5 linked regions of the Rattus norvegicus genome follow. The protein of the gene in region 4 purifies or fractionates together with the protein of the main gene of each other region. This does not show direct contact. Links are inferred from orthologs where the notes say so. Each region holds a gene or a part of one and is shown on either strand. Other genes may lie near its edges.

Evidence for each region.
Region 1: the proteins of Syncrip (region 4) and Stau1 purify together in Homo sapiens (affinity purification with mass spectrometry; 3 studies listed by BioGRID, with this or other methods). This does not show direct contact. The link is inferred for Rattus norvegicus from reciprocal best matches to the Homo sapiens genes SYNCRIP and STAU1.
Region 2: the proteins of Syncrip (region 4) and Hnrnpa1 purify together in Homo sapiens (affinity purification with mass spectrometry; 5 studies listed by BioGRID and IntAct, with this or other methods). This does not show direct contact. The link is inferred for Rattus norvegicus from reciprocal best matches to the Homo sapiens genes SYNCRIP and HNRNPA1.
Region 3: the proteins of Syncrip (region 4) and Fam120a purify together in Homo sapiens (co-immunoprecipitation; 3 studies listed by BioGRID and IntAct, counting the BioPlex papers as one, with this or other methods). This does not show direct contact. The link is inferred for Rattus norvegicus from reciprocal best matches to the Homo sapiens genes SYNCRIP and FAM120A.
Region 5: the proteins of Syncrip (region 4) and Ilf2 fractionate together in Homo sapiens (co-fractionation; 3 studies listed by BioGRID and IntAct, with this or other methods). This does not show direct contact. The link is inferred for Rattus norvegicus from reciprocal best matches to the Homo sapiens genes SYNCRIP and ILF2.

The regions. Positions count from the first base shown.
Region 1 is NC_086021.1:176,142,136-176,146,223, forward strand, and holds the start of Stau1 (double-stranded RNA-binding protein Staufen homolog 1), read right to left. Parts: upstream 2,813-4,088; 5' UTR 2,633-2,812; intron 1-2,632. UniProt on the Homo sapiens protein: Binds double-stranded RNA (regardless of the sequence) and tubulin.
Region 2 is NC_086025.1:136,252,771-136,256,927, forward strand, and holds the start of Hnrnpa1 (heterogeneous nuclear ribonucleoprotein A1), read left to right. Parts: upstream 1-1,347; 5' UTR 1,348-1,388; coding exon 1,389-1,403; intron 1,404-1,447; exon of another isoform or gene 1,448-1,805; intron 1,806-1,945; coding exon 1,946-2,062; intron 2,063-2,318; coding exon 2,319-2,465; intron 2,466-2,636; coding exon 2,637-2,847; intron 2,848-2,933; coding exon 2,934-3,026; intron 3,027-3,113; coding exon 3,114-3,206; intron 3,207-3,353; coding exon 3,354-3,428; intron 3,429-3,631; coding exon 3,632-3,790; intron 3,791-4,157. UniProt on the Homo sapiens protein: Involved in the packaging of pre-mRNA into hnRNP particles, transport of poly(A) mRNA from the nucleus to the cytoplasm and modulation of splice site selection.
Region 3 is NC_086035.1:15,974,097-15,977,610, forward strand, and holds part of Fam120a (constitutive coactivator of PPAR-gamma-like protein 1), read left to right. Parts: intron 1-503; coding exon 504-645; intron 646-1,015; coding exon 1,016-1,112; intron 1,113-3,514. UniProt on the Homo sapiens protein: Component of the oxidative stress-induced survival signaling. May regulate the activation of SRC family protein kinases. May act as a scaffolding protein enabling SRC family protein kinases to phosphorylate and activate PI3-kinase.
Region 4 is NC_086026.1:98,308,878-98,312,391, reverse strand, and holds part of Syncrip (heterogeneous nuclear ribonucleoprotein Q), read left to right. Parts: coding exon 1-11; intron 12-2,259; coding exon 2,260-2,373; intron 2,374-2,471; coding exon 2,472-2,648; intron 2,649-2,658; exon of another isoform or gene 2,659-3,514. UniProt on the Homo sapiens protein: Heterogenous nuclear ribonucleoprotein (hnRNP) implicated in mRNA processing mechanisms. Component of the CRD-mediated complex that promotes MYC mRNA stability.
Region 5 is NC_086020.1:178,259,918-178,263,431, forward strand, and holds part of Ilf2 (interleukin enhancer-binding factor 2), read left to right. Parts: intron 1-2,199; coding exon 2,200-2,304; intron 2,305-2,617; coding exon 2,618-2,695; intron 2,696-3,015; coding exon 3,016-3,118; intron 3,119-3,514. UniProt on the Homo sapiens protein: Chromatin-interacting protein that forms a stable heterodimer with interleukin enhancer-binding factor 3/ILF3 and plays a role in several biological processes including transcription, innate immunity or cell growth.

The sequences.
Region 1 (4,088 bases), on a different chromosome or scaffold from region 4:
AGCTAAATCCCCAACCCCAGTTGTCTTGTTTTTAAGTATTAAAGTTGAATGCTATAGAGGGCACTGTGTATTTGGTCACCCAGCTTTGATAATTATTAACTCATAGTTAAGGTCCATCTTGTCTCTTCTTGAACTCCCTCCTTTAAACTAGCTTGTTTTGAAAACAAATCCTAAATCTATCATAATCTTAGTCATTTTGACTTTAACCAGGTCATATCAGGCTGACTGTTAATCTGTCAATGAAATGACATTTCTTGTATACTAGAACTGACTGCGCTTTCTCTTTTTTTTTTTTTTTTTTTTTTTCTTTCTTTTGGGGTCTGGTTTCTTGGCTGACATATGATTAATACACAGCAGGAAAACAGCTGCAGAATTAGCGGACTCCCCTTCTCTAGGAGAATGCCACTTTTCAGCCCAGATTTCAGCCTTACTCCTTAAGGACTGAATCAACAGTTCCTGAACTATTAATGACTAATTGAAAAGCAGACAAATATTGAATGCCTTTGATCCCAGGACTCCTCCAAAGGCAGAGGCAGGGTGACCTCTCTGTCCAAGGCCAGCCTGGTCTACAAAGCAAGTTCCTGGACAGTCAGGGCTATGTTACCCAGAGAAACCCTGGTCTCTAAAAACAAAAAAATCCAAAACAAACAAACAAACAAACAAAGAGAAAAGCCATTACACTCAACAATGGACGCTAGAAACTATTTCCTGACATTACAAAAACACTAGGAAGATGTCAAAAACACAGACACAGCCATGCAATATCAGATGGGTGTGATATAAACATTCTCCACTTATTAAAGAAACTTACTGCCTAAAACAATCTGCCGAGAGGCTGAAGAGATGAGTAGCCCAGGAAAGGCAGCAACCCTCAGAGTCTGTTCCAGGAAATTAGGTAGAGAGCCGTCAAGGAAGACAAGACACCAGAAGTTGACCTCCGGCCTCCATGTAGAAGAGCATTGAGCACAGAAAACACACACTGAATTGCTCTTATAAATCTGCTCCTGTACCAGCTGTGTTTCTTTAAGGAGGAGGACACCTATGACACTAAGCACAGATTTAAAAACAAAAACAAGGGGTTGGGGATTTAGCTCAGTGGTAGAGCGCTTACCTAAGAAGCACAAGGCCCTGGGTTCGGTCCCCAGCTCCGAAAAAAAGAACCAAAAAAAAAAAAAAAAAAAAAGAGTACTTAATCTTACTAAAGAAAAGAGAAAGGCTGAGTCAGAATAAAGAGTCTACTAAAAGTTCACTAGAATGACCAAGACTTCTCCCTCCACACTCCCCAAATGTATTTTTAGTTTTTACTTCAACAAGTAGTGATGTAATTTGCATTTGGTAAGCACAGATCCCTGAAAGACCAAAATCCTAGTTTAAATCTCTTCCAACACTTCCAATTCTCAAGAATTACAGTTACCCAGACTGGGCTACAGAGCAAGTTCCAGGACAGCCTGGGCTGCACAGAGAAACCACATCTCAGAAAAAAACAAACAAGCAAGCAAAAAAACAGAAACAGAATTTCAGCTATAAGCAGTTGAAAATAGTGACCTTTAAAAGGCACACAATACATGGGCAAAATGCAAAAGGGTACAAGATAAAGCTTCAGACCAGCAATACTGCCACAAGGACGGAGGTGCGGCCAGAGTTTAAGGGAAACGGATAGGTACCGGGAGTGAAATCGAAGCTCAGCTAAAGAAAGTGAAGAACTACAGATGTGGACCAAGAAAGCACGGTTTTAGCATCTTTGCATACTCCACCTCCAGAACCTGACACACAAGAGGGCTCCAAAAAGGTCTGCTGAACCCAAGGGGAGCTTATGCCAGCAACTTTCTCATAAAAAGGAATGACAATAACGTTCTGGGTGGTGGCAAGGAAACATGGGACAGGTTGCGGAGCCTACGGGAGCCAGTGAAGTGCCTGAAACTGGTTCTACAGAAAGGATGGCTTTACATCCATAACCTGTCTGCTACAGTGTCCCCATTAAGCGCGCGCCCCTTTCTGGTGCCAAGCAAGCACAATGCCCAGGCACTGGCAGTGGGCACGAGGGATTCTTCTGCCTCGGAGAAAACCCAAATGGGAAGGTAGGTCAACTTCTGTCCAGTCTGAAGCCTAAATTATACTTTCATACCACGTTAATAAATTATGCAAACGGTTTATTGGGACACGGTGTGGGTCTGGCACACTGATAAGCGCTTTACACGCCCCATTTCACTGCAACTTCACAGCCTGAAGAGGCAGGGACGGGGTTGGGACAGGATTAATACTCTTCCCCCTCCTTTTCCCCCTCACAACAGAGACACAAAGAGTACGAAGTGACTTGCTAAGGGGACAGAGCCGGGAATTGGCACCTTATCCCACAGCTCCGCAGTGGCCGCAACACTGTGCACAGCACCGAAACCTGGTGGCCTGCCGACCGGCCCAGCCCCTGCCCGCGACCCCCGCGTTAACTCCCGCACTGGGCCCACGAGCAGCGCGGAGGGCCCGCCTCCTCCGGGAAGGCCCCGCGGGCGGAGATGAGCCTGGGCCGCAGCTCCCGCGCCCTCGAGGCCTAGCCCACCCGCCGCCCACCTCCCGCTGACGCCGTGCCTGCGTGGGTCCTTCCGCTGCTCGGCCCGGCCCGACCCGAGCGCCTTACCTGGCTGCTTCCCCAGAGCTCGTCCCGGGGCCGGCGGTATTGGGCGGCGGCGAGGAAGAAAAGCAAAAGAAGAGGGCGAGGAAAAAAAGACCGGGGGAGGGAAGAGACGGAGTGGCTGCGGAGAAGGCGGGCGCCGCCGGGCCGGGGGTCAGAAGAAGGGGGAGCGCACACAGACGCGACGACAGCCAGCGCAAACGCTGAAGAGTGGCTCGGCGCCTGCAGCCCGGCAGGAAGTGACGGGGGAGGGGCCGCGCCCGCCCCCGGCCCCCGCCCGCCTCCATGCCGGCCCCACCCCCCCCACCGTGGCAGGAACCACAAGTCCCAGCAGGCGCCGCGTCCAGCATGCGCTCTCTAGGCACGTAAGACCAACGGGGGCCAGGCACCGCTGCGTTGAGTCCAAGGTGTACTGGGAGTTGTAGTTTCCCAGGAGCTCCGGTTCGGCAGGGAAAGCAGGCCTAACTTCCTTTCTTGTCCAGGCTTTATGTTTCCTTCCTGCGTTCACTCCTTCTTCCTATACTAACATTTGTTAACCTGCTGCTGTGTACAAGGTCAGAAACTGAAAATACAGTGAGAATGCACAAGTCCCGGCCCTCATGGAGTTTACATTCTACTGGGGAAAGCACAGTAAATGAAGTCTGATTCTGTTTTAAGACAAGCACCAAGTACTTTCTGGTTGCTTTCACGGAGCTCTAAACTGAGTGTGCTTCTGTGGACAAGAGGCTGGTGTTGGTTTCTTTGATGTGGTCCTGGAGATTGAAGCAAACTTCTAGCACTGAGCTCCATCTCCCACTCATGATGTAACTTTTCTATTCGCCCTCTTGGGTTTTCTTAATTTTCTTGCGCGCGTGTGCGTGTATGTGTGAGTGTGCATGGTATGTATGAGCGTGTGAGTTCAGGTGTCCACTGAGTCCAGTGCTGTCACTTCCTGCCTGGTGCAGGAGTTATAGGCAGTTGTGAGACAGGTCCTCTTCAAGAATAATAACTGCTCTTAACTGATAGCCATCTCTCCAGCCCTGTAACAGCCCTCTTATGGGAGGCAGGGGAGAGAGGTCTTTAGTACTAGAAAGATGGGATCCTTGTCAGAGGTTATGGGATCCTCTGCGGCTTATTTTAAGTGATGCCTGTGATTGAAGCACCTAGGTAGACATCATAGCTAGATACCCAAGGCTCTAGGTTCCATCTCTACCCCAAAAGTACACACACACACACACACACACACACACACACACACACAGAAAAAACCCTAGCCAGGTGGTAGTGGCACAGACATTTTAATCTCAGCCCTTGGAGAGGCAGAGAGAGGTGGATCTCTTGAGTTCCAAAACAGCCAGGGCTACAGACAGAAACTCTGTCTCAAAAAAACAAAAAATTAAATAAATAAATAAATAAATAAATAGTTTGCCTAACAACTCAGTCTCCTTGCCACAGCACTGTGGCTGACTTTGCATGAATTCAC
Region 2 (4,157 bases), on a different chromosome or scaffold from region 4:
TCCTCTAGAGTCTAAGTGAAGGGTGAAACTTTTTGTACCAAAAAGTACAAGAAAACATATGTTTTCCTTAAGGTAATATACGGAATGAATGCCTTAATTATAGGAGTCATTTTAGTTAAATGTTCGCCCCCACAAATGCAAGACTAAGCTTTATTTTTTGAGAGTAGTCTGTCCTACTGGCTCCAGGTTTGCTCTATATGAATTTAACCTACCGACTCCCGCGCTCCCCACTGGAGTCCAGCCTCTGCCTCTTGGGGAAGGCCGGCCTATGGCGCGCTTGGGGTTCATTGGCTCGGAGAGACGCAACTCAGGCAAGAAAAACCCGCCTCCCACATTCCGATGGCCCAAGGACCGGTTGGTAGGCAGCTATAGGAAGACCCAATTGGCCTATACACTCGCCAGTCAAACGCTTCGGCAACGCAGCTTCACCGAACCTGCAAGGATAAAACATCCCGCCCCAGTTGTCCTATTGGCTGGCCCGACCCGTCGCGGCCCCTTCACCGTCGTCTCCCCCCCCCCCCCAGTTCAGCGGTCCATTCATTTCGTACAATAACCGGTGCAATTGGAGCAGGTTCAAGATCTCGTACGGGTAGACAAGACTCTGCCACTTACCCGGGATCTAAAGTGATCACTCACACTAAGGCCTGCACGGTTCCTCTGTGGCAAAGCGGCACCACAAGCCACCGCTACCGCCGCCTTCTGCGCAATGCCAACCGCCCGCCAAAACGGATCCTTCCCTGCGCCTGCGCAACCAATCCCGGGCTTGGACCTTTTCTCCGCCCAAAACGCCTGCGCAAAACAGAACACAGGTCCCTCCACTACGCAGGCGCCTACGAACCTCGTATCCCTCTCCCGCCCGCCATTTCACGTGTTCCAGACAGCAGGCGGAACTTCGTACTGCGCCGGCGTAAACTCGCCATTTTTATTACACATGCGCTTTATAGCTGGGAAAAGTCGCGGCGAACTACTTTCTAACGTATCGTCCTTTGCCGAGTGAGTTTGTAACATTCGGGTGTGGGGAAGGTATAAAACACATTTAAAGACGTGAGTACATTCAAATATAAATTACTGGCTAGCTAGCCAATCAATGTGGTTAAGAATAAGATCCCTTGGGGCGTCAATGACTCAAAGGGGCGGGGACTGAGTAGAACGCCCAAACGGATGCCGTTTCTTAGCAGGGCGTTTTTACAGGCCAATGGTGGGAGGGAACAATTTCAAATCTCCAATAAGACTGAAGCAAGGGCGGAGTCTACCAATGCCGAAAGCGAGGAGGCGGGATAAAAGGGAGAGCAGAAGGTAGGCTGCCGGACACGTTCGCTATCTTATTCCTTTCTGCTCTTTGACGCTGGCGAGGAAGCATCGCTGAACGCTCTCATCATCCTACCGTCATGTCTAAGTCAGAGGTGAGTTGAGCGCGCTCTGCAGCTTCGCTTTCTTCCACACTTACTGAATATGACGGGATGTGACCTGTTTTGTCGCTGGCTCCCGTGCTTTCGGTGTTTGATCGATTACTGCTGAGGCCTACTTTAAAAAATGCAGGTCGCCATTTTGTCCTCATAGTCACCATGAGGCTGCGATCCGACAGCCATTAGTTTCTACGCACTGTTCCTTTTGGCAGAATTCTTACACTTAACGATCTGGGGTTTGTGGCCTTTTTTTCGTTTTTCCCTATCTGGTCTAATGATCTCTTGTTAAAGAGATACTAAGTCTTAATGGCGATGGACCAGACCAACCTGTGTCTTTTGTTGCGCCTGCGTATGAAGTAACAGGACGCATGCGCCGCGTGCAACTCGAGTCCCCAGTCAAGCCCAGGAAGGAGCACGTGGTCTTGTGCAGTAATAAAGAACAATAAAAAAGTGTGGCGTGTGTTGATGAATGGTGTTGATTCATTCGCCCAAGTTTCAGGCCCTCCACTAAGCCCCCTCTTTCCCCCACTTTATTTTAGTCCCCCAAGGAACCGGAACAGCTGCGGAAGCTCTTCATTGGAGGGCTGAGCTTCGAAACAACCGACGAGAGTCTGAGGAGCCATTTTGAGCAATGGGGAACACTCACCGACTGTGTGGTAAGATTTAAAAAAACAAAAGGAAGAGCTGCCTTATTTCTTCTGATTTAACCTTGACGCTTCTTAGCTAAATGTTTTGTGAAGTTAATTAATGGGATACTAAAAATCATCGTTGTGGAGCTTTGCTAACAAGATCTGTAAAAGAGCTTTTTATTTTCTGACTCTGGATGGAGTTTCATGTTTGCAGCGCTCTGACTAGGAATGACTTTTTGGCTTTGTGATCAGGCACTGTGTTGATTGAATTAACTCTAAACAGGTAATGAGAGATCCAAACACCAAAAGATCCAGAGGCTTTGGGTTTGTCACATATGCCACTGTGGAGGAAGTGGATGCTGCCATGAATGCAAGACCACACAAGGTGGATGGAAGAGTTGTGGAACCTAAGAGAGCTGTGTCAAGAGAAGTGAGTGGTTTTTCCTAATAGCTGGTTCTTTTTTAACCTGAGATTGTAATGGGGCAGATCTCAACTGGGAGATCCTCCCTCCTGAGTGAAATTAAAGGCATGTGCCACCACAGGTGTCAATCATTTAGGAATGTGCTGCTACTAAATAACTGGAGTCATTTTTCCTTTTAGGATTCTCAGAGACCAGGTGCCCACTTAACTGTGAAGAAGATCTTTGTTGGCGGTATTAAAGAAGACACTGAAGAACATCACCTACGAGATTATTTTGAGCAGTATGGGAAAATTGAAGTGATTGAAATTATGACTGACAGAGGCAGTGGAAAAAAGAGGGGATTTGCGTTTGTCACCTTTGATGACCATGACTCTGTGGATAAGATTGTTAGTAAGTATCAGAGGATTACATTTTCCTTTATGATTCTGGAGTTCACATGTTTTTTTAAAAGTCCTGAATTTAATTTTTCCTCTTAGTTCAGAAATACCATACTGTGAATGGCCACAACTGTGAAGTAAGAAAGGCTCTGTCGAAACAAGAGATGGCTAGTGCTTCATCCAGCCAGAGAGGTGTGTTTATTGCTTGGTTAGACTTGGGGTGAGGAGGACACTGTTAGTTATTACAGGTTAACCTAATGATCCAAAATTTCTTTTAAGGTCGAAGTGGTTCCGGAAACTTTGGTGGTGGTCGTGGAGGTGGTTTCGGTGGCAATGACAATTTTGGTCGAGGAGGGAACTTCAGTGGTCGTGGTGTGTATGGCTTTGTTTGGCTCCTTGTTGGTTTTAGAACTTATAACTAGTAATTGCTACCCTGTGTCCCCAGCACTTACAGGTTTTGATATTTGATAAGTATTCATTCACGTACAAAGCCTGGTTTAAAGCTTTGGTTTCTTCCAGGTGGCTTTGGTGGCAGCCGTGGTGGTGGTGGATATGGTGGCAGTGGGGATGGCTATAATGGATTTGGCAATGATGGTAAGTTTCTTAAGGAGTCTGTAAGGAGTGGTTTCTGGCGACCTCTACCTTTAGAATAGGCTACTAGAGACTAAACCTAGTGCATGACAAAGTTCAGTCAGCCCCGTAAAATGCATGCCCTGAGCAGCCTTTAGCTATTTAACTTGCGTAGATTTTTCTTGTTAAATACTTTTGTCTTATTGAGAAGACTTGTATTCTTGTAGGTGGTTATGGAGGAGGCGGCCCTGGTTACTCTGGAGGAAGCAGAGGCTATGGAAGTGGTGGACAGGGTTATGGAAACCAGGGCAGTGGCTATGGCGGGAGTGGCAGCTATGACAGCTATAACAACGGAGGAGGCGGAGGCGGCTTTGGCGGTGGTAGTGGTAGGTATCCAGTGACGCAGGTACTTGGTGCGGAGCTAGATGAGACTTCCAGGGTTTATGCCCGTCTCAGACTTCACGGCTGGCTCTTAGAGCATTGTAGGTACATTGCATGGTGCGTGCAAATAGGCTTGCTATGCTACCTCCTCCTGGCTTTAAGCTGGGGCCGCCTCCCCCAAAATGAGTAGGTGGATGAGTGGTTAGTGTCTTCCTTCCACATGAGGTAGTTAGAGACATAGCTGGATTGTCTACCTTCTGCTGGGACTTCAGGCATTTAGTTGATATATCCAAGAAATGTCTGTCTTGACCTAGAATATGTACACAAAGACCTTCGATTCTAACTTGCCACTGAGAGAAACTGTCATTAGTT
Region 3 (3,514 bases), on a different chromosome or scaffold from region 4:
TTACTCAAGCCTCACTCTAAATTTACACAGTCTCCCTCTAGTCCAGTCTGGCCTCAAATCCACAATCCTCCTGCCCCGGTTTCCCAAGTGTTTTGATCACAGATGTTTACTAGCATACTTCTCTCTTATAGGTACTTAACTACAGATTAACGTTTCACGGGGTAGGGCCAGGCCTGTCTTTAATCCCAGCACATGGGAAGCAGAGGCAGGATTATCTCTGTGAGCTCTGTGCTGCTGGCCTAGCCGGCCTACAGAGCTCCAGGAAAGCCAGGTCTACATCGGAAAGACCTGCTTTCAAAACAACACCAGTGATAATCATAATAATGAATTGCATGGAGTGCGCAGAGAGTCTTCTGTAATAGGTCTTCACAAGGCAGGGTAAATGGCTTCTTACTAAATAGGAACCAGCAGTAGGAGTTGCTTTGCTTGTTTTTCCTTTTGCTGGTCCCAATGTGTTTGTAAAGATCTTGTCTTCTCATGGTTTTGTTTGTTTTTTTGTACAGGAGTCCAGCCTATTCCTTCTCAGGGAGGGAAGCTAGAAATAGCTGGCACGGTGGTCGGCCACTGGGCTGGGAGCAGGCGGGGCCGTGGGGGCCGAGGGCCCTTCCCTCTGCAGGTGGTGTCTGTGGGAGGACCAGCAAGAGGGTAAGCTCTGGGCCGGGCTGGGTGCTGTGCTTGGTGTAAGTGCAGAAAGCAGCCTTTGACTGTTCCTCCTCCTGGGCAGGGGCTCTTCTCACGCCACTGCTAAGTTTCTCTTTCACATCATTGTTAGTGTTGCATAGAATTCTCTTATATATCACTATATAATTGTTTGATTCATCATTGTTAAATAATTAACCATGCGTTATTCAGTTAATGAACTGTCTTTTAAAAATGTTCCAAGTGTTAGTTTTGAAGTCAAATGCCTTGGGTGTCCATACTTAGCACTTGATGTGTCACATGACTTGAGAGTAGTTTAAACATCATCTTTGATAGACTTAAATCTGTTTGCTCTTCTTTTCCTGTATTGACCCAGGCGTCCAAGGGGTGTTATTTCCACTCCTGTGATTAGAACGTTTGGAAGAGGTGGAAGGTACTACGGCAGAGGCTATAAAAGCCAGGGAGCAATTCAGGTAATGTCCCCATGGTGTTCCTCTGTCACTCCTGTCCTGTCTCTCTTCTAGGAGTGTCCTTGCATGTGTTCAGACTATAGGGCAGTGAGTTTGTTTGGTAATTGTCAGGCCTCTGACTTGATACTTAAATCATTTCCCTGTGCTCAGGAACTCCATTGGGTGACACCTGTGTGTTTGACTTCTTGTTTAAGCCAAGTGAGGGCAGGCTGGCCTGGCCATGTCTTCCAAGACAGCCACTGCTTTAGTGGGAAATAGTTGGGTTGGGTTTGGTTGGGTTTGGTTTGGTTTGGTTTGGTTTGGTTTGGTTTTTTTGGTTTTTGTTTTTTTGAGTCAAGGTCTTGCTATGTAACCCTGACTGGCCTGGAACTTGCTGTATAGACCAGGCTGACCTCAGACTCACAGAGATGCCTTTATACACATAAAATTATGTGTATAGATATTTTGCCTGCATGTGTGTCTGGGCACCAGGTGCCTCAGAGAGGTGTTGGTTTTCTTGGGACTAGAGTTATAGAAGCTTTGAGTCTCCATGCAGGCGCTGGGAATTCAACCTCAACCCTGATCTTCGTGAAGGGCCCCTAGTACTCTGAACCACAGAGCCCCTTTTCCAGCCCCACTCTGAATATTTCATGTATACCTGTTGTGCATGTGCTTTTCTTTGATCTCTTAGATCCTATGTCCTTTTCCTTGGGTGAACTGCTTGTAGCCTTCTTATGGACACCTGTACCTTGTACATGCCTTGTGGAGAGACAGTGTACTGACACTCACTGCCCCAGTGAAATACTTGTTGAATTCCAGTGGATAGGCATTTGACTAAGAGCTCTATTGTGGTATTTAAATTGACCTTTGTCCATCTTGGAGAATTTTGCTTCTGGAGGGTTGGTTAAATGAACACATCCCATATTTAGACAGTGCTTTTTTTTTTTTTTTTAAAACAGATTTCACACACAGGTTCAGTACCTGCTCACAGTGCTGTAACTAGCCTCCTGTGCCGAGAATAGCTGCAGGAACATTTTCACACCACCTTCATTTTCATTTTAAGCATTAGCTGTATTTCATCCATATCTGGGCAGGGAGCCATGATCCACTATACTTTGCCATTGTACCCCAGTTGTCTTGCTGCTATAAATACCTTCTTGACCCATGTACCCTCCAGGCTCTCGACCTTTGTTCTGGTCTCTGAAGTCCCCTTCTCAGTGGGTTCTGGAAGAATGACCCCTCAGGAAGGACTGATGGAAACTGTTCAATGTAAAGACCGTGTCCTACTCAGGACACTGGCTTGCAGGCTTTTTCCACAGTTCTCTTGCTTTACTGAACTTTCTTCATACATAAAGCTTTGCTGTCAAAGAGCTACCTAATCTCCTTCCCATTGAACTCACCTGTGTGCTTGTCCAAGGCGCCCAGATTGGTTTGCTTTTCCATGAACACTTGGTGCCTTTTCTAGAAGCCCCTGGCACTGCTGCTCTGATTGCCACACTCAGTGAGCCCAGACCTTTCCCTTCAGGAGCTTGTCTACAGAAGCATGGTGCTGCTTGCCAACTGCCCACTCTGACTCTTCCCTGCCTACCTTCCTCTCTCCTATTTTGATTTACAACTCAGGCTACAGTTTACCTCTAGGGTTCTTTTCTTTCTTTCTTTCTGTTTTTTTTTTTTTTTTTTTTTTTTGGTTCTTTTTTTCGGAGCTGGGGACCGAACCCAGGGCCTTGCGCTCTACCACTGAGCTAAATCCCCAACCCCTCTGTTTTTTGTTTTTGTGTTGTGTTTTTGTATTATGAGACAGCTTCAGTACACAGCCCTGTATGGAGCTTGCTGTGCAGGCCTCAGATTCCTGTCGACTCCCTGTCTCTGTCTTCTCCTGAAGACTGGGATTGGCGTTAAGGCCTCAGTGCCACTGTGTCACACTCCCCTGTTTATTTCTGTTTGTCATTATATGTGAGTGATATGATGACCATGCATGTGCATCCATGGACCCCACTGGCCACGTACCTCTAAAAGCTGAACTTTGGCATCAGTTCTCTTCCTTTGACCTTTATGTGCAATCCAGGGACTGAACTCAGAATGGCAATGAACCCTAGTTGTTTTTTTGGTTTATGTTTTTTTTTTTTTTTTTTTTTTTTTGGTTCTTTTTTTCGGAGCTGGGGACCGAACCCAGGGCCTTGCGCTTCCTAGGTAAGCGCTCTACCACTGAGCTAAATCCCCAGCCCCTGGTTTATGTTTTTTAAGACAGGATCTTTCTACATAGCCTTGGGTATCTTAGAATTCATTTTGCAGACCAGGCTGGCCTCGAATTCACAGAGATTGCCACTCCCTGCGCTGGGATTAAAGGTGTAGACCACCATGCCCAGTTGCTTTGTTCTTTAAAAGACTAAATTTTGGGCAGCTTTGGACTCACAGCACTAAGAAAG
Region 4 (3,514 bases):
CGAAGATTAAGGTATGCTTTTAAAACTTTCTGCAGCTTTACAACCCTCCCAGTTATTTAAGAGCTTTGTCAAATGTTCCTGAAGTGTGCCCGGGTACATATATTTCTAAGGTTATTCCTGAAGTGCGCGCGCGCCGCGCGCGCACACACACACACACACACACACACACACACACACACACACACACACACGCATGTGTATTTCTAAGGTTATTGTCTTCTAATGAGTACACTTTGAAAAAAAAGATTGACTGTGTCCACTTTTGGTTTTTGAAAATCACTGCAGTTTGTCTGGCTACTACTGTTCCAACCTGTGTGTGCTGTCACTTACAAAAGTGTAAGAAACATTTAAAGAGGTGGTTAAGTCTAAATGTTTACAGATTACTGATCAACAAAACTGGGAGCAGATTGGCTGGCTGCTTTTTTTTTCCCTTTAGGAGGGCAGGGTCCCAATGAATTTAGAATTTAGTATTGTTTCTTTTATTGGGTTATGAAGGACAGTTATTTCTAAAACCAAGTTTGGTAAGCAAGGACAATGGGTTGGGAGTGAAAGTTTCTTTTGTTGCAGGTTGGTTGTTTTTAAGGTCCTAGAAGATTAAATGGCCTCATTTAGGTAGTGTTCTTGGTGAGTTAGGTGTAGTTCAAAGAGTATAGTTTATATTAGTTTTTAGATTTTAGTAATGTACCACTTCTTTAGGCAAGAGCTATGGTTTAAGAAAAGCAGTTGCTAAGAAGGGCATAAATGTGTGGTATTATACCTCTATTGGAAAAGGAAGCCTAGATCATGTGGACAAGATTGGAGTATGATGTTGTTTGTCAACAGTGTGAGTTTTTACAAAGGATTGTGAACGAATTGAATTTAGGTTCCCAATAAAAATGGGGTTTATAGTCTGTATTGCAATTATGCCAGTGCGATTGGGGAATTATTAATTTCTGAAGAGTTGTGTTTGGATTTGAACTTAGAGCCTCAATGCTTTTAACCACTGAGGCATTTCTCCAGCCCTTCCTTCATAAGAGTTATACCTTTGAGTAAATTTGAGTAATGAAAAAGCCATTTAGATCATACAGTTTTTTGTGAAACTTTGTTAAACGTTTATGAATACCTTTAAAATTGATATATTTTTATAAGTCAGGTTTTTGGGGGGGATAAATTACATCAAGGAAGCATCCTATACATCGTTCCCACAATTTCATATGTAATGCTGTTTGAGTAAAAAAAAAATTTTTGGGAGATTGAGGTGACTTAACATTTTGATAAGTTTTATCTTATGGTCCTTATTTTGAATTGTTAACTAGTTAATAAAATAGTTTTGTTACTTAGAGAACTTTCCTCGTTGATACAGAAGCGGACTTTTGGGCTTATTTGGCTAAACAGGTTACACATGTCCTTTTTGTCACTTTTACCTGTAATAACGGATGAAGAAAAACCCCTAATTGAGTAAAATGAGTTATAAGTTTTAACAAGTTGAGGGAGATAAAAGTTCTATGATTGTAGTTTCTTACTGTTTTTCAAAATCATTTTGGCTGCTTTTCTTCTGAATGAGCCATGCTATTTGTGGTACACAACACTTTGACAGCAAATAATAGAAAAGCTTTTCATATAGCCTTCCAAGTTTATAGACGTGATTTAAGGGGTGGAGGTGACAAAATGCCCACAAATGGTATTGTGTGTCTTTGGGTGGGTTAAGAGTTTATTGGGTAAGAAATACAGAGTTCAATAGTAATCAAATTGTTGCATTTTTAATGAGGTATACTTGTGCGCCCCCCCCGCCCCCCCAGTGTGTATGTGGTATGTGTCTGTGTTTTGAGACCAGTTTCTCAGTGTAGCCCTGTCCTGGAACTCTGTCTTTGTAAACCAGGCTGGCCTTGAACTCAGAGAGATCCCATGGCCTCTGCTTATTGAGTGCTGGGATTAAAGCCATGCCTGCTTTAAATGAGGTTTCTCTTAGCAGACTCAATATATATATATATATCTTAGAAGTTGCTGGTGGGTCGATTTTAATTTTTATTGCTCAGTAATTAATTGGCCAATAACAATGATATGCACAGGATTCTGAAATTTTGATTGTAGGTTACATGAAAGGGAGAATGTTTTTTTTTAATTGGATATTTTATGTAAAAAGGGAGAATTCTAAAACAGATCTTACTCATTTGTATGGAGCAATGTTGCTAAGATTGGTAATATTTGAATGGGATTGACTTAATTACTAAAAATCTGTATTTTAAATGAAGCATTAACAACATTTTGAACTTTTTAAAGGCACTTTTGGAAAGAACAGGCTACACTCTTGATGTGACTACAGGTCAGAGGAAGTATGGGGGGCCACCTCCAGATTCTGTTTATTCAGGTCAGCAGCCTTCTGTTGGCACTGAGGTAAAGAACCTTAAACTTACACCATTTGTAGTAAAAAAAAATACAGCTCTAGTTTCTAAAGAATTGTCCATGATTGTGAATTCATATTTAATTTTCAGATATTTGTGGGGAAGATCCCCAGAGATCTGTTTGAAGATGAGCTTGTTCCATTGTTTGAGAAAGCTGGACCTATATGGGATCTTCGTTTAATGATGGATCCACTTACTGGTCTCAACAGAGGTTATGCCTTTGTCACTTTTTGTACAAAAGAAGCAGCACAAGAGGCTGTTAAACTGGTAAGTTTTTTGTTTTTTTCTTCTCCTTTTTCTCTAGGCTTAATGTCAGTTTTTGCTTAATGTGTTTTATCTGGTGGTTTTTGAAGTGCCGTGTTTTCCTGTGTATATGCATTATAGAAGGGGTATTTGATAAGATTCAGAATCTGTAGATGGTACGGAATTTCTAGTTTGTGCTTCTGGCTTTGGATAGCTCTGGGTAAAATTAAAGGAATATGAGAATTTTTCTTAGACCACATTTTTCCTTCATCACAAATTCACAAAACACCCATTTATTTTAAATAAGTAAATAAATAAGACAGCTCTTAGAAACACTGGCTGTTCTTCCCGAGGCCCCACACTCAACTCTTGAGTACCCACAGGGCAACTCAAAACCATCTGAAACTCTAGTTCTTGGGGATTTGATGCCCCCTTCTGGTGACGCCAGGCATGCATGTGGTGTACAAGTATGTGGACCAAACACCCATACACTTAAAATAAAAAGACAGTACAGTTAAAATTCACAGAAGATACCAGGATGATATATTCTAAGTAGCAACATAAAGGTTTTTTTTTTTTTTTTTTGGTTCTTTTTTTCGGAGTTGGGGACAGAACCCAGGGCCTTGCGCTTCCTAGGTAAGCGCTCTACCACTGAGCTAAATCCCCAGCCTCATAAAGTATTTTTTTTGTGAGCGGGAATGTTTGATTTAAAAACAAGCAGATGTTTGGTGAGAACCTAAATTTCCTAACATTTAAAAATGTATAAAATTATGAAATATTTAACAGAATTTTTTTCTTTTAATTCTTTGAATCAAAAAGATTGAGCCAGGGTGTAGTAGCTCTGAATTTCTGTACTGAGGCATGAGGACTGTCATGATTGAGGCCCCTGT
Region 5 (3,514 bases), on a different chromosome or scaffold from region 4:
TAGAAGAGGTTTGTCAGAGGTTGTGAGCTACCATGGGCGTGCTAGGGATCAGTCTGGTTCCTCTGCAACAGTAGCAAACACTCTTACTGCTGAGCATTCTCTCTCTCTCTCTCTCTCTCTCTCTCTCTCTGTGTGTGTGTGTGTGAGAGAGAGAGAGAGAGAGAGAGAGAGAGAGAGAGAGAGAAGAGAAGAGAAGAGAAGAGAACACAGGGTTTCTTTGTGTAGCCTTTGCCTGTTCTGGAACTCACTCTGTAGACCAGGCTGGCCTTGAACTAACAGAGATCTGCCTTGCCTCTGTCTCAATGAGGTAGCGATGAGGGCTACCACCACCCGGCCTTTATCTGTTTTAATGTAAATGATGAGCACTCTGGCTGCTGTTGTAGCTTCCTTGTAGAGTGCTTGCCTGGCCTGCATAGACCAGAGTATTTCATATGTCAGGGTGGACTGCACACCTATAATTCCAAGTCCAGAAGAAGAAGAGGCAGGAGGATAAGATTCAGTCATCCTCAGCTACCTAGCAAGTTCAGGTCAGCCTGCAATTTATATAAGACCTGTTTCAAAAAAAAATAATAATAATAGCAGAAAAATAAGGTTTGTATTTGGACTTGAACATCTGAAGGACTTAAAAACAAGTGTTGTAAGGTGTACTGGCTTTAAAATGGAGTGGATGGGGGGTTGGGGATTTAGCTCAGTGGTAGAGCGCTTGCCTAGGAAGCGCAAGGCCCTGGGTTTGGTCCCCAGCTCCGAAAAAAAGAAAAGAAAAAAAAAATGGAGTAGATGGGAAAAATAGAATTAAATGTAGAATTTTCTGGGTTTTTTATTTTTTTAATTCTAAAGATTTATGTGTGTGTGTCTGTCTGTATGTGCACCACACACATGCATAGTACTAGTGGAAAGCTGAAGAGGGGGTCAGATTCCTTGGAACTGTACTTACTGGTGGATGTGAGACCCATGCTGTTGCTGGCAACTGAACCTGGGCCTTCCAAGAACAGCCAGTGCTTTTTAACTGCAAAGTCATCTCTCCAGCCCCTATTATTATTATTACTCTTTATGATACATTTTCATTTTATGTACATTGGTGTTTTGCCTCATGTGTGTCTGTGTGAAGGTGTTAGATCCTCTGAAAGTGAAATTACAGATAGCTGTGAGCTGCCACATGGGCACTGGGAGTTGAACCTGGGTCCTCTGCAAAAGCAGTCAGAGCCATCTCTCCAGTCCCTCTAGTTTATGTTTTAAAAAGTGCTTTTTATTACATTTATTACTACATGTACACGACAGCAAATATGGTGATCAGACTTGCAGGAATGGTGTTCTGAGTGGGTCCCAGAATTAATGACTCAGGGCCTTTGCTGCCAAGCCATCTCACTGGTTCCTGTTTATATCTTTTTGAAGCTGGTTTTGAACTGTTGGTTCTCCTGTCTCTTTCTTCAAAGAGCTGAGATCACAGCTGGGATTACAAGGGCATAACATTTTTGTTTCCTTTTGTAGTATTGGGGAAAAAGTCTCTTGTGCACTTTTCTTAATTTTCTTTTTTCAAGACAGGGTTTCTCTGCTTAGGACTGGCTGTCCAGGGCTGAACTTAACTCTATAGACAAGACTGGCTTCAAATTCACAGAGATCTGTTTTTTTTTTTTTTTTCCCCCGGAGCTGGGGACCGAACCCAGGGCCTTCTGCTTCCTAGGCAAATGCTCTACCACTGAGCTAAATCCCCATCCCCCCCCCTTTTTTTTTTATTTATTTATTTATTTATTTTTTTTGGTTCTTTTTTTCGGAGCTGGGGACCGAACCCAGGGCCTTGCGCTTCCTAGGTAAGCACTCTACCACTGAGCTAAATCCCCAGCCCCCTTTTTTTTTTTTTAAAGATTTTTTTTTTCTATTCTTTTTTTTTTCGGAGCTGGGGATCGAATCCAGGGCCTTGCGCTTGCTAGGCAAGCACTCTACCACTGAGCCAAATCCCCAACCCCAAGATTTACTTATATAGCTTATGTATATCAGTGTCCTGTCTGCACATATGTTTACATTGCCAGAAGAGGGAAGCAGATCCCATTATAGATGGTTGTGAGCCACCATGTGGTTATTCAGAATTGAATTCAGGACTTCTGGAGAGGAGCCAATGCACTTAAACCACTGAGCCAATCTCTTCAGTCCCTCTTCTATGAATTATTTTTGGTAAATAACATAATTTAATTTCTGGTTTAGTGTGAAATGGCTTTTCCCCGGGTCAAACCAGCACCTGATGAGACCTCCTTCAGTGAAGCCTTGTTGAAGAGGAATCAAGACCTTGCCCCCAATTCTGCTGAGCAGGTATGTGCTGTCCATGGGCTGTGTTAAAAGTTCAGAGTTTCGGTCCCCAGCTCCGAAAAAAAAAAAAAAAAAAAAAAAAAAAAGTTCAGAGTTAAAGAACTGTTACTCCATCTGGTTAGGGAGAGTGTAAGCCAGTAGTAGACACTTGAGGCCCTAGGTGTGATTCTCATCAAGAGCCGTTAGAGCCCAAACTCCTCTGTGTGTGTAATTATTCATCTCCCTCCTTGTTGTAGGTGGAGAGTCTGGTGATGATGTTGCAGATGTTGTGTGTCATTTTTGGCTTTAGGGTATTTTTGCTTTGTGATGTTTTCAGGCTTCTATCCTTTCTTTGGTGACAAAAATAAACAATGTGATTGACAACTTGATTGTGGCTCCAGGGACATTTGAAGTGGTGAGTTTTTGATTTAATCCCAAGAACGGGCACCCTTGGTGGTACGGAAATTTCCTTGGCTCTTGCCTGTTAATATTTCAGTTGTCTGTTATTCAAATCAAAGCCTAAAATGGAAAAGTACAGAGAATTCTGGAAAATTCCTAATCTTGAGGACAAGATTGTATCACTGGTCAGCTAACCATGCCCAGGTTTCTGGTTATCTAGGGGTGAGATTTCAGCATGGCTGCTTCCAAATCTGGGTATTAAGAAGCAGCTGAAATGGTTCTATGAGGACTCAGCACCTTTATTTTTCTAAACGTCTCTGAAATCCCTTTCAATAGCAAATTGAAGAAGTCCGACAGGTAGGATCATATAAAAAGGGGACAATGACTACAGGACACAATGTGGCTGACCTGGTGGTAATACTAAAGATTCTGCCAACATGTAAGTATATCTCTTATCTTTCTCCGTTGGGGATGGGGCTCAGGGCCTTGGGCATGTTAGCTTGTCATGGAATGCCTGAAAGCACAGGACCTCTGAAGGTTCGAGTTTATTACTGAATATGTAGTGGCCATAGCAGTTGGTCTTATAATCAGTCAGGTCAGTGTAGGTCAAAGGTTAACAGGAGTCTCAGCCCACTCTTTTTCTTTTCCTTCAAAGATTTAATAGATTTATTTCTATTAGTGTTATGGGTATTTGTATGTATGTGTACCATGTACATGCCTTGGGCTTACAGAGGTTAGAAGAGGGCTTTGGATCTCCTGGAACTGGAGATATAGATGGTTGTGAACCACCAAATGGATGTTGGGAATAAATCCAGGTCCTCTACAAGAGGAACAC